Oryctolagus cuniculus: one gene and its partners. The protein of the gene in region 1 interacts with the protein of each later gene in a biochemical or structural test. Links are inferred from orthologs where the notes say so. Each region holds a gene or a part of one and is shown on either strand. Other genes may lie near its edges. The genes, in order: PDK1, PDHA1, AKT1 and RPS6KB1.

The links.
Region 2: the proteins of PDK1 (region 1) and PDHA1 form a complex in vitro, tested with the Homo sapiens proteins (2 studies listed by BioGRID, with this or other methods). The link is inferred for Oryctolagus cuniculus from reciprocal best matches to the Homo sapiens genes PDK1 and PDHA1.
Region 3: of the proteins of PDK1 (region 1) and AKT1, one has a biochemical effect on the other in vitro, tested with the Homo sapiens proteins (3 studies listed by BioGRID and IntAct, with this or other methods). The link is inferred for Oryctolagus cuniculus from reciprocal best matches to the Homo sapiens genes PDK1 and AKT1.
Region 4: the proteins of PDK1 (region 1) and RPS6KB1 form a complex in vitro, tested with the Homo sapiens proteins (2 studies listed by BioGRID and IntAct, with this or other methods). The link is inferred for Oryctolagus cuniculus from reciprocal best matches to the Homo sapiens genes PDK1 and RPS6KB1.

Annotation. Positions count from the first base shown.
Region 1 is NC_091434.1:68,568,059-68,575,345, forward strand, and holds the start of PDK1 (pyruvate dehydrogenase (acetyl-transferring) kinase isozyme 1, mitochondrial), read right to left. Parts: upstream 4,426-7,287; 5' UTR 4,301-4,425; coding exon 4,099-4,300; intron 3,822-4,098; exon of another isoform or gene 3,424-3,821; intron 1,694-3,423; coding exon 1,552-1,693; intron 1-1,551. UniProt on the Homo sapiens protein: Kinase that plays a key role in regulation of glucose and fatty acid metabolism and homeostasis via phosphorylation of the pyruvate dehydrogenase subunits PDHA1 and PDHA2.
Region 2 is NC_091453.1:5,374,752-5,382,168, reverse strand, and holds the start of PDHA1 (pyruvate dehydrogenase E1 component subunit alpha, somatic form, mitochondrial), read right to left. Parts: upstream 4,233-7,417; 5' UTR 4,097-4,232; coding exon 4,040-4,096; intron 1-4,039. UniProt on the Homo sapiens protein: The pyruvate dehydrogenase complex catalyzes the overall conversion of pyruvate to acetyl-CoA and CO(2), and thereby links the glycolytic pathway to the tricarboxylic cycle.
Region 3 is NC_091451.1:46,974,518-46,981,229, reverse strand, and holds part of AKT1 (RAC-alpha serine/threonine-protein kinase), read left to right. Parts: intron 1-3,466; coding exon 3,467-3,595; intron 3,596-5,499; coding exon 5,500-5,611; intron 5,612-5,700; coding exon 5,701-5,848; intron 5,849-5,935; coding exon 5,936-6,067; intron 6,068-6,138; coding exon 6,139-6,204; intron 6,205-6,325; coding exon 6,326-6,394; intron 6,395-6,502; coding exon 6,503-6,628; intron 6,629-6,694; coding exon 6,695-6,712. UniProt on the Homo sapiens protein: AKT1 is one of 3 closely related serine/threonine-protein kinases (AKT1, AKT2 and AKT3) called the AKT kinase, and which regulate many processes including metabolism, proliferation, cell survival, growth and angiogenesis.
Region 4 is NC_091448.1:35,209,097-35,215,808, forward strand, and holds part of RPS6KB1 (ribosomal protein S6 kinase beta-1), read left to right. Parts: intron 1-7; coding exon of another isoform or gene 8-80; exon of another isoform or gene 81-222; intron 223-823; coding exon 824-924; intron 925-2,665; coding exon 2,666-2,756; intron 2,757-2,920; coding exon 2,921-3,011; intron 3,012-4,197; coding exon 4,198-4,305; intron 4,306-4,596; coding exon 4,597-4,659; intron 4,660-4,840; coding exon 4,841-4,918; intron 4,919-6,712. UniProt on the Homo sapiens protein: Serine/threonine-protein kinase that acts downstream of mTOR signaling in response to growth factors and nutrients to promote cell proliferation, cell growth and cell cycle progression.

The DNA of each region.
Region 1 (7,287 bases):
AATGCCTGTGCTTTAAAATCTGAATTTCAGACAGTTATGGTCAGGCAACAAATATTTGTTGAAAGCCTATAATCTACCAAATACTTCTTTTAAACAGAAATGAACAAAAACACACAGTGATGAAAAGTTAAGTTTTTAATGTACCTAACAAGTCAAGCTAACAAAGCACGCTTTTAGGAATAAGCAAAATGAGGAAGGCCACTTGACTTTCAAGGTCATGTAGCCAAGTACAATGGCACTGCAGGGTCAGAGCTAAAAATATTTCAGGAGGATTCAAGTACCTTTTCAACAGTGTAAGATCTGCTTGGCTTGCTGGAAAGCTCTTTATCTATGACCGCGCCCAGTTAGCAGGCGTCCAGGGGAAGTGAGCATTTCTAAATCTTAAATCCATAGGCTGGTTTGGCAAGCTGTTCCTGACCAGCCTGTGCCTCCCTGCATTCCAGGTCAAGTGATTCAGATAGCTGCTGTGCCACTCTCACCCTTAATTTTCTCTTCCTTGGCAGGAAAAACTATGCTCTTTACTCAACAGATATTTGAGTATCTTTAATGTGCAAGGCACAGACCAGACCATTCAAAAAGCAACAATTTCCATTTTTAATGAAAAATTTAAAAAAACAGAAAAGCAATTTCCTTGAAAATTTTTATTTATATTCCATCACAATGCCTAACCAATGCCTCTTAAACCGCCTTTTCAACTTCTCCATACTTGGCCTAGAGAGCATCTGATTATCATATACAGAATGGCCACATTGCTTTTGCTTATGCTTCTCCCACAAACATTTTGCGGACAGCAAAATGAGGAACTCCACAAATTATAACTGGGAAGTATCTTGCAGCTACATTTGTCAATATACAATGTACCTCTGGTCATCTCTCTTGTTTGAAACATGTAGTGCTTACAAGAATACTTTTAAAATTAGTACTATTAACAGCAAAGGCTGCACATCAATTGTCACATGAGTATATACCCTTAACACCTCCTAGTGTTATTTTAGGGAGAGAAATTAGTTAATGATTCCAGTAACTTCTGTCTTTAAATGGAAGAATAAACTTTAACTTTTGTGATGTCCAAAAAGATCTACTTTAATAAAGTAAATTCAGTTTATAAAAGATACACGTGTTAATGTATTTCATCATTCTGACCACGCATGGTTTAGTAGATACAAATCTGGGTTTGAATTCCACATCTACTATTACTTTCTGTGCATCAGTTTACTTATATGCAAAATGGAATTTAAAAATATCTAGGATGCAGGGTGGATAAAGAGATGAAAGGTAATGTGTATAAATACCCAGCCACTCACTGATGGTAGGCATTCCACTTACAATATCCCTGCAGATATTATAACACAAATCTTAGAGCTCTTGTCTGTGCTTCTGCATGGCTCCGGCTGCATTCAGAAAGCAAACCCAGATTCACCAAAAAGAAGAAAGGAAGAGAAATATCGCTATTGCCTTAAGACTCCCCTGAAGAGTAAGAAAGCATTTACTTTAACACTGAGTAAAACTCTCAACTCCACGGACATCGCAAACACAACATGGGAATCTTACCAGCTTTGCACCAACTGAACAGATGGCGTCCTGAGAAGATTATCTGGAAGGAGACTTATTTCTTTCATTATATTTGCCAATCTAACAGGCAGCTCCTGCCGCAGAAACATAAATGAGGTCTTTTCGCAAGCATTCACCGATCCTGCAACCAAAGGCCACAGGGAAAGCAGTAAATAAAAGCCATCGGCAGAAGTCAGGCAGCAGAGAGAAACACAAGAGTTCTCAATCACCCCAGTGCTGGGAAGGGCCCAGGAGGTGAAGATATCCCGTGCCTGCGGGAGAAGGATGGGATAACCTAGCCTTTAGGGACATCACACCCCAGAATGACCTTCCAGTCCCTGCCATTTCAATTAAATGGCTCTCTACAATTAAAGTACTTTGCTATCTCCCTTTGCTGCATCATTACTGTAATGCAACATCCAAGATCCTCTTACAACTAAGGTAACCACAGCCGTGTCTGAGTCAGGCTCAGCACCCAACAGTAGAACCTGACAAGCCTATCCTACCCTATCCACTCTACTGCTGCTACCATTTAGAAAATCTGTCCCCTAACTCTAGAAAGTGTGAAGACTTATCCAAGAAACTGGGAAACTTTTACCTGTAATGGGAAGATTGAGGCCAGGTAGAACCACTTATACTAATTACCAGCAGCAACAAGGAGGGCTTTCAGGCATTAAAAAATAAACACAAACACCTGCTCAGCAATCCTCTTCAAGTAGGTCCCATACAACTGACAGATTCCTGAAAGCCACCTGCCGCTTCCTACCCTTCCGTATCAGGACCCTAAGCAGAACAGTCAGATAATGACCTTTGGCAAGCAGCTCCATTTGGTCTAAAGGTAAACTAAACAAGAGGGTGTCTAACCAGGCCGTTAAGACAACAGCATCCCGTGTCAGAATGGCTGGGCTTCACACTGGCCCCAGCTCCTGACTCTGGCTTCTTGTTAATACAGATCTGTGAGGCAGGGGCGACAGCTCAAGTAATTGGGTTCCTGCTAGGGAGACCTGGATTGAGATCCTCACTCCCTGCTCTAGCATGCCCTAGTCTCTGCTGTTACGAGCATTGGAGGAATGAACCAGTGGACGGGAGCTTTTCTGCAGCATGCCTGCCTGCCAAATAAGCTTTGTAAAAATAAATAAATAAATAAATAAATAAATAAATAAATAAATAAAGTTAGGGGCTGGTGCTGTGGCACAGTAGGTTAAGCCACCCTCTGCACACCAGCATCCCCTATGGGCACCAGTTAAGAGTCCCAGCTGCTCCACTTCCAATCCAGTCTCCTGCTAATGTGCCTGGGAAAGCAACAGAGGATGGTCCAAGTCTAGGGGCAACCCTACACCCACTTGGGGAACCCGGAAGAAGATCCTGGCTCCCGCCTGGTCCAGTCCTGGTTGTTGGGGCCATCTGGGGAGTGAACCAGAGGATGGAAGATCTCTCTCTCGTCAAATAAATCTTTTTTTTTTTAAAGTAAGCTAAAAACTCGGATTATTTCAGTAACGGATTTTAAGCTAAATTAACGTTGCTACTTTAGCAGAGACAACCTTAGCAAAACTAAGACTGTCAATACTAGGAATCAGCATTAAAGGACATTAAAGGACATTCTAGCACTAAAGGACAACATAGTCTTGTGAAAGTTTAAATAGCATACTTTCGAACAAGGTCAAGTTCACCCTTTCATCATCCTAGGAAAAACAAAAACGGAAGGCTGCGAGCCAAAAAAAAAAAAAGTTTGCCACTGGAAACCAATTTTTAGATAAAGTCACCAGCGATGTCGGTATCTTTGGAGTCCACTAACAATGCTGGTGACCTGGTAGCACTCCTAGCGCGAAGATAACTTTCTCTACTCAAACTTTTACTGTTAACAGCTGATACCTGTCCTCCCCTGTCCTTGCTCACTCCGTGCTGGAAGTCGAAGCGAAACGCCCCATCCGCACTTCCTTCTGCAATCTGTCGCGCACCTCGAGAAAACCAGCGTGCACGCGGCCAACTCCACAACACCTGGTACCGATGCAATTTACACGCGCTCAAGACCCGTCTGCCAGCGGCGGATGAAACCCTGGTCGGTGGCAGCACCCTTCAGCCACCGGCCAGGAAAACATTCCAAGAAAACACGAGACCGCTTCTAACTTGCTTTCCCTTGCCAAGTCCTGTGCAATCATCGTGGGCAAGAGGCGCGTTTCTCAGCCCTCCGCGGAATCCGAAGGCGATTCCCGGAGGCGTCTACGCCGCGGCTCTCACCTGAGCCTGCAGCTCCGAAGGGAGCCGGCCCCGAGCGCGCAGCACACGTGCGCCGGAAGGCGGGGCGTCATTCCGCCCGCGGCCCGGCGGGTTTGTTTTCAACCACGGAGTGAAAAGCCCCACGCCCCATTTACCTGAGCCGTGAGAGGGGCCCCCGCGAGGGAGGAAGGAAGCACCCAAGGCGCCGAGCGGGGAGACGTTAGGGACGAGAGGGCGCTCCGGGGGCGACGGGGCGCCAGCGCGGGCCCCGGCGACCACAGCCCCCAGCCCGGGCCGCGCACAAAGGCCTGAGGCCCGCGCCGCACTCACCGAAGTCCAGGAACTGCTTCATGGAGAGCGGGGACGGCGAGAAGCGCGCGTAGAAGTCCACTTGGCCCGGAACGCCGCTCTCCGACGCCGGGCCGGAGCCGGAGTCCGAGGCGAGGCTGCGGCGGTCGCGGGGGCCGGCGGCGCGCAGCCCCGGGCCCGAGCCGGCCGCGGCGGCTCCGCGCAGCAGCCGCGCCAGCCTCATGCCGAGCCCCGCTGGAGGAGCCGGAGCCCCGGCGCCAGGTCGCCGCTTGGCGCCTCAGCCGGGCGGTACGTGAGGGACGTGGCGGGCCGCGGGGGCGGGGAGCGGCTGTCACCGCCGCGGCCGCCGCCCCCCTCGCCGGAGGCCGGCCCCCCGCGCCGCTGGGCGGGGCCCAGAGGGGAAAGGAGGCGGGGTCAGAGGCGGAGCCGGCGCGTGCGCGCGCGTCTCGGCCGAAGCCCCGCCCCCTCCCCTAGAGGCGGGACGCGCGCCGGGGCCGCCCACGAGCGAGGTGGACAAAAGGCCAGACCCGCCGCTAGGCGCGGGGAGCCCTGCGGATGGCCGTTGGCGCCCGACGCCCTGCCGCGAGGTCCGCGGGGCCATGGGCCCCATTCCCACGCCCTTTTGTAACAAGCCACACCTTCCTTCTTCCTCTCCTCTCACAACCTCAACCCAAAGTCTGGAGGGGGCCTACAGCGGGGGCCTTCTGCGAGCGCGTTCCGGAAGCGCTCCGTCTCCCAACATTGCACAGGTGAAGAAACTGAGGCTCGGATGGTGAGCGCCGCGCGTGGGGCCCCACGTGGTGTCCCAGGGACTGCCGGCCCGGGGGCCGAGTTGGCAGCCCAGCCTGAAGCGTTCTCTGCGGCCATTTCTGGTCGACAGCCTAGGGGCATTTGCAATGCCTGTCCACCTGCTGCTGCCCTCATCTCTGTCTTAGGGTCCCAGCTGGCCTGCTGCACTCTGTACGGGTTCTAAGTAGTGAACGTGATGAGGGAGCGCCAGAGTAAAGCCAACAATAATAACCACAATAACTCCTTCCCAACAATAAGCAGAACAGGATGGAAGCCCCTTCTAATACTTAGCAATGACGACAAGATCTAGGTTTACCTAAAAACAAGTTAGAAAAGACTCCATTAAGACTGCCTCTGGAGTAGCGGTAAAACCGCCCCCTGTAGTGCTGGCATCCCATGTAGACGCCAGTTCTAGTCCCAGCTGCTCCTCTTCCGATCCAGCTCTCTGCTATGGCCTGGGAAAGCAGTAGAAGATGGCCCAAGTCCTTGGGCCCCTGCACCTATGTGGGACAGACACCTGGATTAGAAGCTCCTGGCTCCTGGCTTCGGATCGGCACAGCGCCGGGTGTTGCAGCCAATTGAGGAGTGAACTGGTGGATGGAAGACATCTCTCTGCCTCTCCTTCCCTCTGTGTGTAACACTGACTTTCAAATAAATATATCTAAAGAAAAAAAAAAAAAGAGGCTGCCTGGGCCTTGGAGATAATGTGTTAAGGACAAATACCCTTAGACTGCAGATCTCAGCGGCTTGGTCTCTCACCCTCACTGTTCGCTTTTCTCTTTTTCTTAAGTAAAATTTCTACTCTCACTGTTGTGTCCGGTCTCATATATCCATGTCTACACCAGGACACAAACTCGGACTCATCCTCTCCAGGTTTCTTGCAACAACAGGACTAGCCTATGTGTGCCACTGGTTTCATCCATAGAGCCTCAAAAGTTGTAGTTAACACTAAAAGCTACTTCTTGTCTCTTCTCTGTAAGGCTGTCGCAAAACACACCAAACACTGGAGTTGGAGGAAGAGGAAGAGCCTATGAGAGAGAGAGTGTGTTTGGGGAACAGGTCCTGTTAAACCTTTGCCCAGGGAAGTAGGAGCAGCGAATCCCATTGGGTGGAGGTGGAGCTGACACTGACACTGACACCTGTGGTTGGGCCATCTGGCCATCTAGCCTTCTAGCAAAGGCAGAGGGGGCTAGAGCCTTAGATGGTGCCACAGATAAGACTGCACCGCTGCTTCTCTATATCCACCCCAGTGCTTGTGAGCTTTAGAGATAACAAAATTTCTTTACCGTGTGCTTTATATTTTTTGTTCCAAAACTTGAGACAGAGGCGTTTCACGTTTCAGATTTGTTTGAATAAAATATCTTGGGGATGGGACCCAAAACAAAACACCAAATTCTTTTATGTTTCAACTCTGTTACTGGTCACGGAGGGGAGGTTGCTGGAACAAGTCTTGTGGGTTCTTTTCCTCAGCTTAGTATAGAAAAAAGCTGGGAAACAATTTGCAAAGAGGCAGAAACTTTTATTCAATTAGCAAGCGACAGAGAAAACATCTGGTCCGAGAGGAGACCAGGCGGAGTGCCCGAGCCTGACACTGGCTTTGAGAAAGTGTCCCAGGTTTTTAAGGCATTAGTATCTGGTCACTGGTTATCCTATTGGAAGTGCCCATTATACAGGGGTTTACACATACGTATGTTGATTGGCTTGGGCTCATGGAGATAGGGGGGTGTGGTGGAATGAGAAGGCCATGCCAAGATGGCCACTGGCAAGCCAGCATCAGTTACTCAGGAATGGCTTCAGAACCCACCTGGCAACGGAGCCTGCCTGGCAGCAGGCTGTGATTGGTTAGGGCATAAGCCGCCCTTTGACCTGATTGGCTGCCTCTGCTATATAAGCTGCTGTACCAACTGAAATAAAAGAGTCCGCTGGCTGCTCACCTCAAGCCCTCTTTCACCCGACTCCTGGGGTCTTTGTGGTGACTCCATGCCTCTTGACCCCGCCACGCTCCTCCTCTCAGAACGGATCCACGACAACAGGGGGGAGCAGGGGTTTCCTAGAGACTGTCTCCTTAGGGTCTCTGCTAGCTCTGAGTGGTAGATTGCAACTAACTTGAAGGCATAGTTTGAAACCACAAGGTCACACAAGATAACCAGAGTCTCTTGGAGCTGTTTCAACTCTCCCCAGGTGCTCAGCCCCTTCCCTCGCCAGCTCTGAAAGATTGCAGCCACCCTGGAGGTGTGATTTATTTATTTATTTATTTTATTTTTTTTGACAGGCAGAGTGGACAGTGAGAGACAGACAGAGAGAAAGGTCTTCCTTTACCGTTGGTTCACCCTCCAATGGCTGCCACGGCCAGCGCGCTGTGGCCAGCACACGGCGCTGATCCAATGGCAGGAGCCAGGTGCTTCTCCTGGTCTCCCATGG
Region 2 (7,417 bases), on another chromosome or scaffold:
GCGGGAAGAAGGAGCAAAGTTAAGAAAGCTAAAAGTCCTATCAGAAGCACAAGTACTGTAACTTTTAACTGAGATTGCTGAAAAGGTTACCATTGATTTTCTCTGGAGAGCTGTCAAACTTTGAGACCATGAGCCATTCATATTTCGGCATATAAAAACTTTTTAAAAATTTATTTATTTGAAAAGCAGTTACATAGAGGCAGAGAAAGAGAGCGAGAGATCGTACATCAGTTGGTTCACTCCTCAAATGGCCACAATGGCCAGAGCTGAGTCCATCTGAAGCCAGGAGCAGCTTCTGGGTCTCCCTCACGGGTGCAGGGGCCCAAGGACTCGGGCCATCTTCCACTGCTTTCCCAGGCCACAGCAGAGAGCTGGATTGGAAGTGGAGCAGCTGGGACTTGAAGCAGCGCCCATATGGGATGCCGGCACTGCAGGCGGTGGTTTTACCCACTACGCCACAGTGCCGGCCCCCAAATAAAAACTTGAGTTCCTAAATACATTAGAAGCATTCAAGTGAAAAACAAGGGGAAAAACATTTCAAAAATTCCAGATTCCACCAATGGCAAATAGAAATCTTACCTATTATTTAAAAAGCCAAAAGAATACTAGGAGTAAAGATCTCCAAGGGTGCCAGTCTTGTTGTGTAGTGGGCTAAGCCGCCACTATGATGCTGGCATCCCATATGGGCACCAGTTCATGTGCCGGCTGCTTCACTTTTGATCCAGCTCCCTGCTAATGACCTGGGGAAAGCAGTGGAAGATGGCCTAAGTGCCTGGGCCCCACAACCCAAGTGGGAGACCTGGAAGAAGGTCCTGGCTCCTGGCTTCAGCCTGGTCCAGCCCCAGCCGTTGAAGCCATCTGGGGAGTGAACCAGCAGATAGAAGATTCTCTCTCCTCAACTCTTTCAAATTAATAAATAAATCTTAAAAAAAAAAAAAAAAAGTATCTCACGTCATTGAGGCCAGTGCTGTGGCAGTGTCAGGCTGACACTTGTTTCAGAATGCCAGTTTGAGTCCTGGCTGATCCAGCACCCTGCTAATAAACCTGGGAAGGCAACGGAAGATGGCCCAAGTGCTCAGGAAACCTGCTACCCACATGGGAGACCTGGATGGAGTTCCCAGCTCTGGTTTCAGCTCAGCCCAGCCCTGGCTGTTGTGGCCATTTGAGGAGAGACTCAATGACTAGCAGTTCTTTCTCTTTCTCTCTCTCTCTCTCTGCCTTTCAAATAAACCTCTTTAAAAAAAAGAAGTCGCAACAAATAAAAACACTAAGACAAAGATTATGATTTTAAATGCAATTCAGTCTTCTATAAGAATTTTTAAAACTATCAATTTAATTCAAAAATAAATCACAAGCTTGTAATTCATTCAAAGTTTCCTGCCAAACATGTCATGATACAATGATAATCGACAAGCCTGAGATAAATCACCATACATCCCTGGTTTTAAGAGGAGAAAAGAAAAAAAAAATGAAAAGGGGAAAAAACAGAGTTCTGGAAGGCAAGATAGGGCACAATGTGGATAAAGTGTCACAACCATCAATCAAACGAACCACTTGACCTTTCTCCATCCCCTCCCTCTCTGAGTATCACACAGATGGTGCAACTCTAGTACCCAATTTGCCTAATTTAGGTTAGTCGCAGTTGATTATTATCAGGATTTTTGAAAGGCTTATTTGCAAAAAATATTTTTACATATATATGAAAGTAAAAACCTTGATTATTTTGTTTTTTATATTTAAATAAAAAGACATCCATAAGTATGAAAAAAATCACAAAATATAGTTATTCTCAGGGGTTGGCCATTTAGCATAGCAGTTAGGATGCTGGTTGGGACACCTGAATCCCACTGTACCCGGGTTCAAGACCCAGCTCCACTCCCAAGTCCAGCTTCCTGCTACATGTACTCTGGGAAGCAGCAGTCATGGCTCAAATAGTTGGGTTCCTGCCAACCACATGGGAGACCTACACTAAGATTCTGGCTCCCGCTCCCGCTGGCTCAGCTCCAGCCATTGCAGATATTGAATGAGCAAACAGAAGATCTCTCTCAGTCCATCTCTGCCTTTCAAATAAAATGTGTAAACCCTGACACATTGGTTTATTACTCCATCCTTTAAAAAGATAAAGGTGAAACATCTGGTCCTTACCATCTTCAGAAGTTTCAGAAATGCCTCCTAGTTGACTAGCACGTGACACGTATAGTCACACAGAAAACTATCTGTAGAGTTTGCACCAAGTGGGAAGCTGCCTGGGTACTTTAGGGTGACCTGACTGCTGGAACTCAATTTTTTTTCCTACTGGAAGGTAGGGGAAAAGAATAAACCTGAGTGCCTAATAATAACGATTTAAGGGTGTTTCTGAGCCCCTAAGTACTGGTACATCTACAAACCGGTATCACCAAAAGGGATGACTTAGAGAAAAGGCAGAAACTCTGCTAGCAAGGTTTGACAGTGGAAACTTTTTATCTATTAGTTTCCAATCGCAATTCAAATTCTTGACACCTCCCAAGTTTAACTTTGAAGTTCCTGGGAAACTGTTTCTTTCCACTAAGTGCGAAGCTTCAATAACAAAGTTTCTACTGCTTTTGCACTTCTAGTCTATCCAATCTCACAGCAGAAAGGAAAGGCCACTTAACTTCTGCAGATAACTAAAGCACTGCACAATGCTGCAAACACGTTTCTACTGCTGTTTTTCCACTAAAAACCAATGCTAGGGGATTCAACGAGATAAAGCTGGGAGGTATCTACTAGTGCCTAGCACATACTGCGAGCTCAAGAAATGGTGGCTGGAGCCTGCGTGTGGGCAGAAAAAAGGAATGCCCCTTGTGCTTCGCCATCAGGTCAATCCCAGTACAATTCCAAGGTCAATACAGTTCTGATCAATCAAATTCTCCTGTAAATCTTAGTAAATGGGATTCCTAGAGGGGTTCAGCCGCTACCTTTTGACAACCTCTGCCCAGACTAGGCACAGCTGCATCGAGTCCTGGGAGAATTACTAGAACCGGAATTACAAGTCAAAGCTTGGCTCTGCAGTTATACCAAGTAACCCCATCTCACTGTGCCCAGAGGTCAAAATGCTAGCAGCTCAGGTGAAAGGCGCATCTGAAAACTGGGGCTGCAAATAGCTTAAGTGCGATTTCCTTTAGCCACCTTTACCCTAAGGGGATGTGTGTACGTCCCCCCCCCCCCGCACTTAAGGGGGGAGAGCAGTTTCCTGTGGGTTCCGCTGGACCGCTTTCCACTGCCAAGAAAAGTTAAGCCGGAGAGGAAGTGGGTTCCTGGGGAGCGTGACCACGTCTAAACCCTCAGACACCCACAAACGTACACCAAACTGGGCGGTCAACACAGAGTACCCACTATGTGCCAGGTGCTAGTCGGAAACGTTTACGCACGCGTCACTCGTAGAATCCTCAGACAACCCCACGAGGTAGGTACCCTCATATACATTTTAGAGATAAGGACACTGGGCGGGGTGGAAGGTGGGGGGGGGGCGTTCAAAACTTGCCCAAGCTCACAGGACTGCTGTTTGAATTCCAGCCAGTTCGTTTCCGGATTCCACGCTCTTTACTAACACCCACTAAAGGACCTCTCAGCCAAGACAAACATTAAGTTAGGGAGAACTGAAATGAGTGGGGTCAAGTGAAGACTCTTACAAGCTTAAGGCACCCCCTCCATACCCTGCAACCAACGGGCACTTTTCGAGCACACCTAATCGCTCCGCGCGGAGCTGGGCTCGGGGAGAGCCGGAGAGTCGTGACCGATCTCCACGCGGACCCGGCAGGGGTTGCCCCCCCTCCCCAGTCGGCCGCCCAGCGCCGTTCCCCCCCGAGACTAGACGCAGAATGCACGGCGTGGAGGCAAAAGCAAAAGCCCGCAGCTCCCCCGGCTCCCCGCCGCATCTTTTACTCAGCGCCCAATCCAAGCAGCGCGTCTAACTGCGAGCCCCGAGGCCCGGCCCGCCCTTCGGCCTCCTCCGGCACCGCCTCGGTCCCGTTCGCGCTCCATCCCGATCCGTCCAGGCCGCTGGCTCGGGCCGCCTCACCGGCTTCTGGGCAGCGCCAGACAACACGCGGGAGACAGCGGCCAGCATCTTCCTCATGGAGCGCAAAGAAGCTGCAACAACGGCGACTCCCAAACTGCCCAAGGGGAACTGCTAAGCCGACCCCAAGTCTCCTTCAGGCGCCCCAGCAGAAGCCACGCCTTAAACGCAACGCGACGTGGCGTCGGAATGACGTCATGCGCCGCGCCGGGCCGCGGGCCAACCAGGACGGCTCCCAGGCTGTGTTCCGCCCACTTGAAAGGCCTGCGACCACCCATTGTGTGTCGGCGCCATGGGGGGCGGAGTTGCGGCTTCCTCGCGTCACCATGCGGCGGGAGAGGGAGGGGTCGACTATCTGAAGGCGCCTGCGTGGGAGAGTGGGTCCCCGCCTCCAGCCTTCTGGTTGGATTCTGCGCAGACGACGGTGGTAGCCTTCAGGCTGGTCCTGACGTGTGGCTGGTCCTGCTGGTGCTGTAACTGCAGCCTTGGCTCTGCACACGAGATGATGAAGATTAGCAGCCTAGCCGGGGCCGAAAGATAGACGGTACAGTCTTTGTAAGTGATTCTGCCACTAACTTGGCTTTAAAAGATCACGTAATACAATCTGGTCTCCCACGTGGTTGGCAGGGATCCAACTACTAGAGCGGAGCCGTCACCTGCTGCCTAGCAGGGTGCGCTCTGCTTTTCAAAGAAAAACAAATAGGTAAAGGATCACATAACAGTTGTAAAATGCTGCTGATTCCCCAACTAAATACTGAGGAGTCAGTGGGAAAAACCTTTTGGCTCTACTTACTGATTCAGAAGCTCAAAGAGAGTTAACAGCAGGACACAGCCAAAGATAAAAGGACACAGAGAAACAGACTCCAAAGCAACTGGGCTCTGTAGAGAGGAGTCAGGGCTCAGAAACCCATCCTGCTGGGCCCTGCTGGAATTGCACCTAAGGTTCTGGGTTCTGAATTGGCTCCATTTAAAGAAGGATAATGACAAAAATGAGTGGCATCCAGAGGATGGCGGTCACAATGATGAGGGGCTTAGACTGTGACTTGCGAGGAATGACTCAAGGAGTTAGGAAGAAACTGGACTGATTTAGAGTGAGCTAGGTTATGTTGCTGTAACACTCAACCCCAAATTTTAGTCTCTTTAAGAACATCAAGTGACTGGCCAGCGCTGCGCCTCACTAGGCTAATCCTCCGCCTTGCGGTGCCGGCACACCCGGTTCTAGTCCCGGTCGGAGCGCCGGATTCTGTCCCGGTTGCCCCTCTTCCAGGCCAGCTCTCTGCTGTGGCCAGGGAGTGCAGTGGAGGATGGCCCAAGTGCTTGGGCCCTGCACCTCATGGGAGACCAGGAGAAGCACCTGGCTCCTGCCTTCGGATCAGCGCAGTGCACCGGCCGCGGCGGCCATTGGAGGGTGAACCAACAGTAAAAGGAAGACCTTTCTCTCTGTCTCTCTCTCTCACTGTCCACTCTGCATGTCAAAAAAAAAAAAAAAAAAAAAAAAACATGAAGTGACTTAGCTTGTTCATACCACAACTTCCACAGCTTGGCTGGGACTGCACTCCATGTCATTTCTCTGGAACCTTGAGTGATGGAGCAACCTCTGTCTGGAACTTAGCTTGTCTCACGGTGAAGGGAAAAGCTGTCACTTCGAATGGCTCTCAGAGCTTCTGCCTGAGATCAGCGTAGTGGTGGAGTGGGCTAAGCCAATGCCTGCGATGCCAGCATCCCATATAACCACCAGCTGAAGTCCCAACTGCTCTGCTTCCAATCCAACTCCCTGGTAATGCACCTAGGAAAGCAGCAGAGGAGCAGAGGATGGCCCGAGTACCAGGATGATGTGTTGGGCTCCTGCCTTCAGCCTGGCCCAGCCCTGGCTGTTGCAGCCATTTACTAACCAGCAGATAGAAGGCCTCCCCTCCTCCTCTGTCACTCACACCTTTCAAATCTTTCTTAAAAAAAAAAAAAAAGAATGATCTAACCCGTAAGACATATTTGTTTGTTTGTTTGTTTGTTTTTAAAAAAAAAGCTTCTGCCAGAAGTAACACATATCACTTCCTCTAATGTGCAGGAGGGAGACCAGAAAATTGGGTGGACAGCAACAGTGTAGAGGACTTGGTACGTCTTCACACTTGTACTTCCATGACCAGGTTGCCACGCGATGAGCGCTCCCTAAAGGCTGAGAGGGACGGGATGGCAGTGAAGCAGGCTGCCCAGCGTGGCCTCCGCAGATGCTGCTGCTGCCAGAATGTGGAAGCTGGAGAAAGGAGAATGAGAAGAGTGCGAGGCCAGATGGCCAGTTTAGAGAAGCCGGCCTGACCGTTTGTGGACCTGCTGGCCTGCAGGCAGTGGTGGGACAGCTCCCCGAAGTTGTCCCCCAGCAAGTGGCAGTTGTAAGTCTAGGACACAAGCTAGAAATATAAATTTGGGAGTCATCTGCATAGAGCTGACATTGGTTGTGTGCGTCCAGGAGCCCTGTCGGCTCTATGCATACACATGCATTCATTCTTGCATTCCTTCAACACCTATTTGTTAGACACCAATTCTGAGTCAGGCATTGGAGTAGGCACAGGGAGGGGGGAAAGAGCAAGGAATAGAGTCCCCAGTCCCACAGAGCTTACAGTCTAGTAGGGGGTTAATAAGTGCACATAAGTATATATTACAGGGGCATATAATGCAGGCAATAAATGGTATGACAAAAATTAAACAAGATAAGGGAATAACAGGAGTGACGTTAGAAGGGCCCCTGTTACCATGTCTTGTCCGTGTCCTGGTTGGGGAACGGCTTCACCTGTCTTGGACTGGTTACTCAGTACAGAAATAAAAAGTCTGAAAGAGAGAGCAAAAGTGGAAGCGAGTGTATCAGTGATAAGCAACAAAAGCACCCCACTTGGATGAGGGCCCCCAGAGCTGGGGGATGGTCTCTTTTATGTTATTTCCTTCTCCCTCTCTCCTTATCTGACATAGGGGCCCTTCACCTAGTGCATGCAATAGGAGTCCTGTTTGGATGGGCTCCCCTGCCTTTGTCCAAGAGCACAGCAGGGGGTCTCTAATCCGATTCCCTGGAGGGATGGAATTTCCCACAATTTGCCCAAGGTCTGCTCTTTTTCTTCTAACCCTGCCTCAGCTGCCCTCTTTCCATACATCTGCCCGCTCTGAGAGGACCACCCAGCTGCCACTGCTTATAAGGGTCGATGGCTGCTCTAGCCGCTTCGTGCTGTCCAGGGGTGAAAGAGGGAAGTTGGCTGGTCCCCTTGGGTCTGCTGACCAAGTGGGCCTCGGTAGAAGTCCTCAGGACATCTGTGTTTCCAGCTGAACGACCAGCTGCCTCTTAAGAGCACCTGTCCTGTTGGAGACAAGTTGTACCAGTCAATTAAACAAGCAGGG
Region 3 (6,712 bases), on another chromosome or scaffold:
GGGCCCCAGTGGGGGGTAGGGGTGAGGCCTTGGGCTGGGCAGGGCCACCACCTGCCCCAGGTGTGGCCCCACCTTGGGAGGCAGAGATCCCGCCTCGGTGCCCCTGGGGAGGCGGCCCTCGGGGCAGCTGCTGGCCGGTGAGGACCCGTGTCTGAGGGAGGCCACTCCGTGCCGCTGCTCGGACCCCATCTCTCTGCTTGCTTGGGGCTGTCTGTACTCTTGGCCCGGATCCAGGCCAGGAGGTATCCCCTGGGGATGTTCCGGAAGCCCCCAGCACGGCCAGGGCAGCAGCCCCTCCCCAGGAACGGACAGACGGGGTCAGCTGGTCGTCCGGCAGACCTGGGCTCACTCCCCTGGCCGGCCTGACCAGGTCGGGTCCCCCTTGTGGGAAGGCTCGGCTGGGCCGTCCCTCTTGTCACAAGCCAACGAGTGGCCTGGGCTGGGCCGTGCTGGCTTCAGGCTGCAGCGAGGCCAGCGCACGTCAGACACGGAGGGTCGTGGGCAGGTGAGCAGGAAGCCTGCCCCAGGGAGGAGATGGGAGCCACGGAGCGGGCAGCCCAGGGGCCTCACCCGGAGGGTGATGGGACACGCCGGGCCACCAGAGGTTCAGTGACGGATGAGGCTGAGGTGGGGTGGGCGTCCAGGCGAGGGTAGAGGAGCCCACAGCCCCCGGCACCTCCACAAGGTGGTGCCCGGCTGTGTCCTCTCCTGCGTCCGAGTGTCCTCTGGTCAACTCCACCCGCCTTGCCTGCCTGGTAGGGGGGCTTCCTGGGAGGGTGGGACAGGCCCGAGGCTGGCAGAGAGGTGGGCCTGGCGGTGCCAGCCCCTGCCGGGCCGGAGTGGCACTGCTCACCCTCCCCTGAGGACCTGGGCCGGGAACGCAGCGCTGGGCAGCTGGGCAGCTCCCCGAGGGCTGGTGGCCTTGGTCAGACTGGCCCGGTGCCTGCTGCGGTGAGGGGCACAGGGACCCCCGCAGGCAGTGGTGGCCACCAGCAGGCCCTCTGCTCAATGTGCCGGAGAAGGTGAAGGCGCGGCAGCTGTCGGCAGGATGGATGTGCTGGCGGCGGGGGACCGCAGGCCTGCTGGGGCTCACTTCGCTGTGGAGAGACAGCCCGGTGCTGCCTGGCACCCTGCCAGCCTGCACCCGCCGCCGCGCAAAGTGCCAGCCCAGCAGTTTGCTGGGGACCGGGAGCGTCCAGAGGATGTGCGTGGAGGTGGGGACGCGGCTCCAGCCCGTCAGAGCCGGGCAGCGTGGACCCCGAGACTGCCCCCGGCCACGTCGGTACTGGCTGTGAGCTCGCACAGGCTGGGCCTTGCGCAGGCCCATCCTGTCCCCAAGCATTGTGTGGTGTCCCCGAGGCCAGAGCTGACCCAGGCCGGGTCGCAGGAAGCTAGCTAACCCTGTCACCCTGCTAAGGGCAGCCATCCCCTTCTCCCTGTCCCGGGCATGGTGGCCTGGAGCCTGGACAGGACCTGGGGCTCCGTGCAGCACCTCAGGGGCCACCACTGTGCTCCCAGCCCAGGGCTGGGTTCCAGGCTGTCCTGCAGGTGGGCCGGCCAGCAGTGGGGCGGGAGCGGGTCCCACCCGGGCATCTGCACCTCCTGATGGCAGCGCCTGGCTGGACCTGCCTAGAGGGCAGCTGAGCCTGCTGGAGAGGCCCTGGGTGGAGCCTGGCACCGCCACAGGTCTGAAGGGGGGGGGGGGCGCTGAGGAGACCCTGCGCTGGGCGCCAGTCGCTCCCTGCCAGAGGCCCAGGCCCCTCTGGACCTCGGGGTGGGCAGGTGCCAGTCTGCAGGTGTGCAGTGGCCTCTGCCCCCACCCTGGCGGGGCCGGGGGTCTCAGGTCCCACGTTGCTTTGGCTGAACTTAAGACGAGGGCTGTAGCCCAGGCACGGCGAGCACTGTGGGTCCCCATGGGCCTGCCTGGCCGGACGCAGAGGCAGAGGTGTCCCTCGGCCTGCTCCTGGCCCCCGTGGAGGGGTCTGTGTGCTGAGGGCAGCCCCCTCACCGACACTGGGGGTGGGGGCCCTGTGTGTGCCGTGTGGCGCAGGACCGAGATGGATTTCTGGGGCGCGCGCGGGTGCTCATCAGTCTCCCCGCTCGCTCAGCGTCCTGGGGAGCGGCAGCTGGTGGGATGGCAGGCACTCCATCAGGGGCCGACAGCTCCAGACTGGCGTGCAGGCGGGTGGGCACGGCGCCGGGCGGCCCGGGACGGGGGGGCTGTGCAGCCCCCAGAGCCCGCTCCGCTCGCCCCCTGGAGCCCCTGCCTGCCCCCACCTGCCCAGAGGGGGTGCCTGTGGTGGGCTGGAGCCTCTTCCCTGAGGGTCGCCCTTTGCTCCTGCCAGAGGCCCCGGTGGCCCCAGCCTGGCGGGGCGGGGTGGGGGCTGCCTCCAGGCTCTCCCAGGGGGGTCCTGGGTGGGGAGGGCGGCTGGCCCCAGGACCCTGCATACAACCCCTCCCAGCTGTGGGGGGCACCCTCATGAGGGGGCAGAACCTTGTCCTTCCCCCAAAGCAGCCCCCGCCGCACCTGAGCGACCGCCCCCTGCATTGTGGGGTGGGGCCTGTTAGCTGGCCTGCCCCCCTGGGCATCGGGGTGTGGCCTTACTCCACTGCTCTGGTCCTGCTGGTGGGCTGGCTGGAATCAGGCCCACCCCAGTCCAGGCACAGTAAGCACCCAGGGGTGCTTGGGGGGGCCTCTTAGAGCCCTGGGCTGTGAGGGGGGTGGCTGGGGTGCAGGTCCCAGCCCAGCCCGGGGCTTCCGGGTCCCATCTGCAAGTGTGTCCAGGACCAGGGTGCAGAGTGGCAGCTGCCGGGCACCTGGGGAGGGAGGGCCACTGCCCTGAGTGCCTTGCCCAGGGGACGCCTGCCGACCCGTGTCCTCTGAGCTCCTCTGGGGGTGGCCTGTCCCTGTGTCGTCCCCAGCTCTCAGCCCACAGTGAAGCAGCTGCCTAATTAGCAACTTCCCTGTCGTTCAGACTCTGTGCTCGGCAAAATGTAAATGAGGCGTTTTCTCGGGTGTCAGTGTGAAAAATGGCGCAGCGCGGCTCCACGGAGCATCTGCCGTGTCCCCGAGCGCCGCGGTACTGGGGGAGTCGGCCCCCGCGCCTGGACCAGGGGCTGTCCCAGGGTGGGCGGCAGCTCTGCCCTCGGCCCCAGGACTGTGCTGCTGGCCCTTCCTTGCCAGTGCCAGGCTCTGTCCTCTTGGCTGGAGGCCGGCTCAGGCCAGCAGCCACACCCTGGAGCCTGGGTGCCCGGCCAGTGCCTGAGCTGGGCACCAGCTGACCTACTGCCTCCCCCTCCAGGAAGGCCAGGTAGGTGGGCCCAGGCCTCCTCCCCGTGTCCCAGGTGTGCAGGTGGGCCTGGCCCCTTTCCGGCGCAGCGAGCCTGCCTTCCCGTCCCCCACCCTCTGCCTGGCGTAGCTGGCCAGCGACCTGGACAGGGGCCCTCACCGCCTGTGTCCTCACAGGGGAGTACATCAAGACCTGGCGGCCACGCTACTTCCTCCTCAAGACTGATGGCACCTTCATCGGCTACAAGGAGCGGCCACAGGACGTGGAGCAGCGCGAGTCCCCACTCAACAACTTCTCTGTGGCACGTAAGTGTCCCCTCGGCCACTCCGGGTTGGACGTGGGGCGGTGCCTGGAGTGGTCCGTGCCCTGTGGGACTGGGGGCCAGCCCTGGCTGGCGGGGGCCTGGGCCAAGCTGCATGGCTGTCCTGTGGAGCTGTTCCCTGAGCCTCCTGCCCAGAGGGGACAGCTCGGGCTATAGGGAGCCTCCAGGCTCTCCCAGGGGGGTCCTGGGTGGGGAGGGCTGCTGGCCCTAGGACCCTGCATACAACCCCTCCCAGCTGTGGGGGGCACCCTCAAAGCTGGCCAGTGCCACTTTTTCCCCTGCCTGGCTCCCCAGTTGTCCCTCCCACGATGCTGGCTGGGGCCGGGCAGGTCCACTGCCACTTTCTACCACCTGGCAGCCCAGCTCTGCCCTGGGGCTGGCCTGGGGCAGCTGGGGGCGATGGGCCTGCCAGCCGTGGGCCTCTGGGTTCTGCCCCTCCCTCTCCTTGGCCAGCACCCTGGGGTCCTCTGGCCCCTGGCCTTCAAGGGCCACCCAGGTTCTGGTTTGGGGGCTGCAGGGAGGTCTGGCACAGGTGGCTCGACCTGGGCGTCGCCCTGCCTGTGGGCATCTGCGTGGGGATGGGCTGCGGCACTGGCTGCTGGGTCATCCCTCCCGGGGCCCACTCTGTGCTAGAGGAGGGGCCTGGCCGTGGGGATTCCCGTGAGCCCCAAATGCCACCCTCCCCGGCCTCAGGCCCAGCTTCCTGGGCCGGAGGCCACCAAGGAGGCGCAGGCCAGTTCCCTGGAAGCCTTGCTATGCCCGCTGTGGGGGTGAGGCAGGAGGGGCCTCTGCAGAGGAGCCCATGGGGGCAGCGCCAGCCGGGGGCAGGGGGCGCTGCCTGGCCAGGGCGAGAGCCAGCGTGTGTGTGCGGAGGGCCTGTGTCCAGGGGCTCTGCCTTGTGGGAGGACCGAGTGAGCTTCCTGCCCGCACAGACACAGGCCGCCTCCCACCAGGCTGGGCCCCGGGCCCCCACGCAGCCCCTCGCCCGGCAGACCTGGCCCTCGTGGTTGCCAGGGTGCTGGTGCTGGAATGCACACGCTCCCCGGCTGTGGGCGTGCGTGCTACAGGCACACGTGTGGCAGGCGTGCGTGTTCCAGGGGCGTGTACTGTAGGTGTGCGTGTTCCAGGCGCGTGTACTGTAGATGTGCATGTTCTAGGCGTGTGTACTGTAGGTGTGCGTGTTCCAGGGGCGTGTACTGTAGGTGTGCGTGTTCCAGGCGCGTGTACTGTAGGTGTGCATGTTCTAGGCGTGTGTACTGTAGGTGTGCGTGTTCCAGGCGTGTGTACTGGACTTCCGGTCAGGGTCTCCCAGCGACAACTCGGGGGCCGAGGAGATGGAGGTGTCCCTGGCGTGCATGTTCCAGGCGTGTGTACTATAGGTGTGTGTGTGTGTTCCAGGCGTGTGTACTATAGGTGTGTGTGTGTGTTCCAGGCGTGTGTACTGTAGGTGTGTGTGTGTGTTCCAGGCGTGTGTACTGTAGGCGTGTGTGCTCCAGGCGTGCTGCAGCTGTGGCTGTGGCAACAGCAGGGCGTTCTCGCCCCTCCTTGGGCCTGGGCACCCCTTGCCCTCCAAGGCCTTGGAAGGTGACAGTGACCTGCCTCGCCCCAGCCCCAGCCTTGTGGGCAGGGGAAGAAGTGGCACCTGGCCAGCTTGGAGGGGATGTGCGCAGGGGCCTGGGCCGGCAGCCTCCCTGTAGCCTGAGCTGGAGGAGGGCCCTGGGTAGTCTGGGGCTCAGACGCTTAGGGAGGGACCGTGGCGGGGGCTCACTCCCCCCGAGCAGAATGTTCAAACTGGAGTGGGGCGGGAAACAGCCTGGAGGAGGGGAGTGGGGCCTCCTGGGGCCAGCGGGGGCAGGAGCTGATGGGCACCCCCGGCCCTGCCCCCAGAATGCCAGCTGATGAAGACGGAGCGGCCGCGGCCCAACACCTTCATCATCCGCTGCCTGCAGTGGACCACGGTCATCGAGCGCACCTTCCACGTGGAGACCCCCGAGGAGCGGTACGCACACTGCTGGCCCGGGGAAGCTGGGGCACAGCCCCGCTGCGTGCCCCCGGCAGCTGTGACCGCTGGCCCCCCGACCCCTGCAGGGAGGAGTGGACGACTGCCATCCAGACGGTGGCCGACGGGCTCAAGAAGCAGGAGGAGGACACGATGGACTTCCGGTCAGGGTCTCCCAGTGACAACTCGGGGGCCGAGGAGATGGAGGTGTCCCTGGCCAAGCCCAAGCATCGTGTGGTGAGGCTCCGGCTCTTCCCGGTGCCCCGGGCCAGCGGCGGTGGGCAGGCGCCGCTGACCCCGCTGACCCGCCTGCGCACCCCGCAGACCATGAACGAGTTTGAGTACCTGAAGCTGCTGGGCAAGGGCACCTTTGGGAAGGTGATCCTGGTGAAGGAGAAGGCCACGGGCCGCTACTACGCCATGAAGATCCTGAAGAAAGAGGTCATCGTGGCCAAGGTGGGCGGGGCCGGGGCGGGGCCGGCGCGGGGTGGGCGGGGCCGGCGCGCGCTCACCCGCCCGCCTTGCAGGATGAGGTGGCGCACACGCTCACGGAGAACCGCGTGCTGCAGAACTCCAGGCACCCCTTCCTCACGGTGAGTGCGGGCCCTGCGCGGGCGGGGCCCGACCCTCGCCGGGACGTCCGGGGATGTCGGGGTGGGGGAGCCTCCTGGGGGGCTCCGGCGCCGTCCCACCCGCCTTGGCTCTGCCCCGCAGGCCCTCAAGTACTCTTTCCAGACGCATGACCGCCTCTGCTTTGTCATGGAGTACGCCAACGGGGGCGAGGTAGGGCCGGCGGGGGCGGGGCCCGGGGGAGGGGCGGGGCGGGGGCGGGCCCTCGGGGGGCAGGGGGCGGGGCGGGCGGGCCCGGCGCCTCAGCCCCCTCCCCCGCAGCTCTTCTTCCACCTGTCCCGCGAGCGCGTCTTCTCCGAGGAGCGGGCCCGCTTCTACGGCGCCGAGATCGTGTCGGCGCTGGACTACCTGCACTCGGAGAAGAACGTGGTGTACCGCGACCTCAAGGTGCGCCCCGCGGGCCGGCGGGGGGCGGGCCGGGCCGGGCCCCGCTGACCGCCCCTCCCCGCGCAGCTGGAGAACCTCATGCTG
Region 4 (6,712 bases), on another chromosome or scaffold:
ATTTCAGGCCTTTTCTAACACAGAAGCTGCATTTAAGAGCCTTAGGGATGGAGTGCCCTTTTATGGAGGAGGCTCTCTGAGCTATGTTGGAGGCTGTGTTTGTGGTCCTGCTGGCTGTGAAACTGCCTCAGTCCTCTAGGATACACCCTGTCCATCCTGGAGTAATCTGCAGGATTGCAACATTGTTATGCAGCCAGTATTGCAGTGCCCTGTGCTTTTCGAATCCAGACAGGGTTGATTCAGCCCTTTATTCTTTGGAGGTAGATAAATTTGAGTGTCACACAGTTTATAGTTGTGGGCTGGCTGGCAAGAGGGAGGGCAGATACTGTGGGCATAGCTGTTTATAAGTATGCAGCTATATTAAGTAAGGGAGGAGTGGGCTTCTGAGGGTCAGGTTATGAGGAATGTTTGGAAATCAAGACTTGATCTGTAAGAATAACCAAGTTCCTGTTTCCTGTTGGATTTTTAAATTGGGGGTTGGTGGGAGAAATTTCATTTGATCTAAATGACAGTTGGCCTAATTCCTACACAGAACAAAATGCCACCAGTGAGCATTTAGCATATTCTGGGCATCTCTGCAACCTTATCAGTATGTTCTAATGGCAAAATAGAACATTTTATAGTTTCACTAAAAGCAGTGAAATGTAAATGTCCCCATGCCGTTTGGCAGCATTCTGAACCATTTCTTTTCCCCATACATCCCCTCACCCCACTAATTTGGACTTTGGTGCATGTCTGTTTCTTTCAAGGAATTTTGCTCCATACATAAACTGCTTTGGGTAGTTTACTTGTTTTAATTTTATTAAATCATTTTTGTTTCCAGCTTTTACTTGGCAGAAATCTCCATGGCTTTGGGGCATTTACATCAAAAGGGGATCATCTACAGAGACCTGAAGCCGGAGAATATCATGCTTAATCACCAAGGTGGAGATATACTGTAAACATTTTTATAGTAAATAATAATCTTAAAATCCTCGCACACAGGCTGTGGCCATTTTCAAAGCCCCATATTCATCTCTATTATTATACATTTCCTCCCTCAGTATTAATGGCATCATAATACTTGCTGGTGTTTAAGTATTATAGTTGCTGAGATTAAAGGAGTTGAGGATAATAGCCACTCAACTGCCTTTTTCAGTTTAATCCTTATTCTTTATAGCTTTTCTTTGCCTTTTTTTTAAGTCTTTGCACAAAATATTATGGACCAAAAGCCAATTGAAACATTATTTTGATTTGTTTCTTTTTTTTTTTTTTTTTTTTTTTTTTTGACAGGCAGAGTGGACAGTGAGAGAGAGAGACAGAGAGAGAAAGGTCTTCCTTTGCCGTTGGTTCACCCTCCAATGGCCGCCGCGGCCGGCGCACCGCGCTGATCCGATGGCAGGAGCCAGGATCCAGGTGCTTTTCCTGGTCTCCCATGGGGTGCAGGGCCCAAGCACCTGGGCCATCCTCCACTGCACTCCCTGGCCATAGCAGAGAGCTGGCCTGGAAGAGGGGCAACCGGGACAGAATCCGGCACCCCAACCGGGACTAGAACCCGGTGTGCCGGCGCCGCAAGGTGGAGGATTAGCCTATTGAGCCACGGCGCCAGCCTTGATTTGTTTCTTAAATTGAAAAGTGAATCTTAATGGAGTTTTATTGACAATGCACAAATATTTTATGACAAATTTTACTAATGTTGAAAAAAGGGAAAGGATTGGAATTGAGCCAGATATCTGATATAGCCTTGAAAATAAAATATTTAGTGGACATCAATTTATTCTTGCTGTCTGGTTCATTGTTTCTCCTTTCTATCACCACCTTCCCTGAAAAGCTAGATTCTGATTCTGAATTCTAAAGCAAAGAATTAGGAGACGGATAGAATAGAAAACAACTTCTTTGATCCATAAGTTTGAGTAATTTAGGTGTTTATTTGACAATGAAAGACATATGTATCAGAGTATAGTATGTATTTACATTTCAATTAATAAGTTATTGCCTTTTCTTTTCTCTGCAATGAATCTGAGTCCCTAGGGTTGTTGAACCACTGGTTAATAACAGTTCAGTAAAGCTGAACTTGAATTGAAATGATCTTTGTGGAAGGTGATGAAAGTTTCAGTTTCTGGATCTGAGATGATTAACCCATGCCAATTTCAGTTCCTTCTCTTAACTGGTAGCACTTGCCAGAAGAGGCTAACTTGTTACAGTGACTTTCTAAGATCATTTTAAGAACTTTTAAGTCACAGTTTACTGTGATAAAGGCTATTTAAAGTGTAGTGTCACACTTTTGTTGAAACAGTGCAGCATATGTTTATTAGGGTCTGTGACTTGAGCCAGACTTAATAAAGATTTTTCCCTAGGACTTTGCTTTCTCAGAGTGGTAGACGATTCTCCGTAAAGCTATGGATAGGTGAAGCTAGGGGCTTAGACAAATGGATTAACTTTCTTCTGTTTTGTCTTTATCATCATTTATCATTTATATTGTTGGCAAAAGGTGATTCTACCCTAGCCTTCAAGTGTTAGCATTCCATTTTATGGATGGCACCTTGTTAGTTCTTGATATCTGCAAGAAGAGTTTAAGGCAGGAAACACTGAATAGAAGGATAGATTATTGTTTTATGTGATATGCTCAAATACTGCACATACTTAGAACTCTTGGAATAATCATGCTATAATCTTTTCATTGTAGGTCATGTGAAACTAACAGACTTTGGACTATGCAAAGAATCCATTCATGATGGAACAGTCACACACACATTTTGCGGAACAATAGAATACATGTGAGCTGAGTGTTAAATGTAACTGGTTTGGGATTGATAGCTAACCTTTACCTAGTTTAATAATAGTGTCTAAGTTTTCTGTAGCATCAGTGACTCCATCTATTTTTTTAATTTTCAGATATATAAATGGTTGAATTTTATGCATGCTATTTTTCTCATTGTAGGGCCCCTGAAATCTTGATGAGAAGTGGCCACAATCGTGCCGTGGATTGGTGGAGTTTGGGAGCATTAATGTATGACATGCTGACTGGAGCAGTAGGTGCACAGTTAAAAGCTGCATGTATTATGGTCTTGTGCTGAGTAGTTTTCAAATCATTATCACAGGAGGCCATTCCTGTACTTTTTGAAAATGTGGAATTATTTTCAAGCCTAAAAATTTATCAGCAGTTTAATTCTAATAATGCCTTATGATTATATAGGATCCATCCTTTTATTTATTTTTTAAAGATTTATTTGAAAGGCAGAGAGGCAGAGAGAAAGAGAGGTCTCTTATCCGCTGGTTCACTCCCCAGATGCCTGCAATGGCTGGAGCTGTGCCTGTCTGAAACCAGGAGCCTGGAGCTTCCTCTGGGTCTCTCATGTGGATGCAGGGGCCCAAGGACTTAGACCATCTTCTGCTTTCCCAGGCCATAGCAGAGAGCTGGATTGGAAGTGGAGCAGCCAGGACACGAACCATCGCCCATATAGGATGCTGGCATTGCAGACAGCAGCTTTATCCTCTATGCCACAGCACCGACCTCTTGGGGGTCCATCCTTTAAAAAACATTTTTATTTTATTTTATTTATTTTTTTATTTATTTTTATTTTTATTTTATTTTATATGTTGGGACTGGTGTTTTGACTTGTAAGTTAAACTACTGCCTGTGACACTGGCATTCTATATGGACGCCAGTTTGAGTCCCATCTGCTCTATTTCCATTCCAGCTCCCTGCTAATGTGCCTGAGAAAGCAGTGGAAGATGGCCTAACTGCTTGGGCATCTGCACCCATGTGGAAACCTGGAAGAAGCTCCTGCCTCCAGCCTGGCCCAGCCCTGGCCTTTGTAGCCATTCTGGGAGTGAGCCAGTGAATGGAGGATCTGTCTGTCTCTCCCTCTCTCTTTTTATACCTCTGCCTTTCAAATAAATAAATGATCTATGTAATGGCAGTCCTGTGAAAGAGATGTAGGTTAGATAATGTCCTCACTTTATAAATAGAGAGATCAAAACATAAAATCACATGCTTTGCCAAGTATCACACAAGTGACTGGTGAAAACTCAGGCTTCATTCCAGGTCATTGCTGAACTCCTCTGTGATGCTTCTTGAAAACTACAGGTCTTCAGTAGTCAGCCCATTTCACTGCATACATTTCTGACCACCTTGCATAATTGACTAATTCAGAAAATGGATGATATTCTTTAAAATGTTTTTATATGCTAATTTAATCTCTTTTCTACCCTTAGCCCCCATTCACTGGGGAGAATAGAAAGAAAACAATTGACAAAATCCTCAAATGTAAACTCAATTTGCCTCCCTACCTCACACAAGAAGCCAGAGATCTGCTTAAAAAGGTAGTTTTTTAATGGGTACTCGAAATATAAGTCTCAATAACTAATTTTAACTGGGTAGAATCTAACATTTTGAATAAAGAATCATACAAGGTATTGAACAAATAAAGCATGCAGTTTATGAAGGCATAGTACCAATTTGTTTAAAGATTTTTTCTTTTTATTTTCAGACTATTTAGTAGTAACTGATAAATTACATTTTCTAAAGGTAATATAAATGAACAAATTATACAAAGGGAAAAAATAAATATGATTGAAGTTCTTTATCAATACTTTATTTGTTTCCCCCTTAAGCTGCTGAAAAGAAACGCTGCTTCACGTCTTGGAGCTGGTCCTGGGGATGCTGGAGAAGTTCAAGTAGGGATTGACATATTTGGTGTTCTGGGAAAAGACTGCTTATTTTGCTTATTTTGTGTTTGTCAGGGTTGTATGTAGTTGCTTATAAGTTTAGCTGATTTTGTGATTTGTCACTTCAAACAGTTAATTTGTCATCCCAGTAAAATCTGTTCTCCTTGTCTTTCTCTATTCTTTTTTCTAGGCTCACCCATTCTTCAGACACATTAATTGGGAAGAACTTCTAGCTCGAAAGGTGGAGCCGCCCTTTAAACCTCTGTTGGTATGTATCCATGAAAACAGATAAAATTGAGGGACTTTGTGCTTTTCTAGAAAAAGAAAAACCTTAGAGCAGTTTTAAACATATTTTTAAATTCAAAGAACTTTGGTCTTCTCTTTAGAATCTTTATTTGGTATTTTGTTTACAAGAATTAATGCCAGTGGTGACTGATGACTATATTAGCTATTATTTCAAGAAGTTGAGAATTTTTTTCCCCTAATTTAACCGACTGTAAACTTGATTCTCTGGGAATTTTTTGTTCAAAATGTAGGATATATGTGTAATTTGCTAGGCCTGCTATATCAAAGTACCACATACTGAGTGGCTTAAGTAATAGAAATATATTTTCTCAGATCTGTAAGCTAGAAGTCTAAGATTAAGTTGGCGGGATTGGTTACTTTTTTTCCTTAAAGGTTTATTTTATTTATTTGAAAAGCAGAGAGAGGGGAGGGAGGGAGGGAACAAGGGAGGGAGAGAGAGAGAGAGAGAGAAACAGATTTTCCATCCATAGGTTCATTCCCCAAAAGGTTGCAATGATTGGCGCTGGGCCAGGCTGGAGCCAGGAGCTTTATTCAGGTCTCTCAAGTGGGTGCAGGGGCCCAAACACTTGGGCCATCCTTTGCTGCTTTCCCAGTTGCACTAGCAAGGAGCTGGATCAGATGTAGAGTAGCCAGGACTTGAACTGGTGCCCATATGGGGTGCCAGTGCTGCAGGCAGCAGCTTTACCTGCTTTGCCACAGCACTGGCCCCAGATTGGTTGTTTCTGAGGACTGTGACAGAGACTAAGTTCCATGCCGTTCCCCTAGTTTCTGATGATTTGCTGGCAATTTTTACCTATCTTTGGGTTATAGATATATCACCTGGATATCTGTTTTTATGTTTATTTGTGCTCAAACTTACTCCTCCCTTTTTAAAAATAAATTTATTAATTATTTTTTAAGGAAGACAAATTTCATAAGTACACTTTAGGAATATAGTTATTCTTCCCACCATACCTCCTCCCTCTCCCCTTCCCAGTCCCATTCTCCATTAAGATTCATTTTCAGTTAACTTAGTACACAGAAGACCAACTCTATGCCAAGTAAAGATTTCAACAATTTGCACACACACATACACAAAGAAACTGAGAACTAAATTTACAGTTAACTCTCATAATACAACTCATTGAGGAGTTGTATGCATGGGGAGTTAGTGCACAGTGACTCCTATTGTTAACAATTAACACTTTTGTATATGAAGTCAGTGGTCAGTGACCATATGAGGCTCTTGACATGAGTTGCCTAGGCTATGGAAGCCTTTTGAATCCACAAACTCCGTCAGTAGTTAGATAAGCCCATAAGCAAGGTGGAAGTTTTTTCCTCCCTTTAAAAAAAAAGTACATCCTCAGCTGGCACCATGGCTCAATTGGCTAATCCTCCACCTGCAGCGCCAGCACCCCGGGTTCTAGTCCCGGTTGCCCCTCTTCCAGTCCAGCTCTCTGCTGTGGCCCAGGAAGGCAGTGGAGGATGGTCCAAGTGCTTGGGCCCTGCACCCGCATGGGAGACCAGGAGGAAGCACCTGGCTCCTGGCTTCGGATTGGTGCAGCACACCTGCCGTAGCGGCTTTTTGGGGGGTGAATCAATGGAAGGAAGACCTTTCTCTCTGTCTCTCTCTCACTGTCCAACTCTGCCTGTCAAAAAAAAAAAAAAAAAAAAAAAATCCTCCTTTGATGGCCACTTCTTTCTGCTGGGATCTCACTCAGAGATCCTTCATGTAGAACATTTATTGCCACAGTGTCTTGGCTTTCCATGCCTGAAA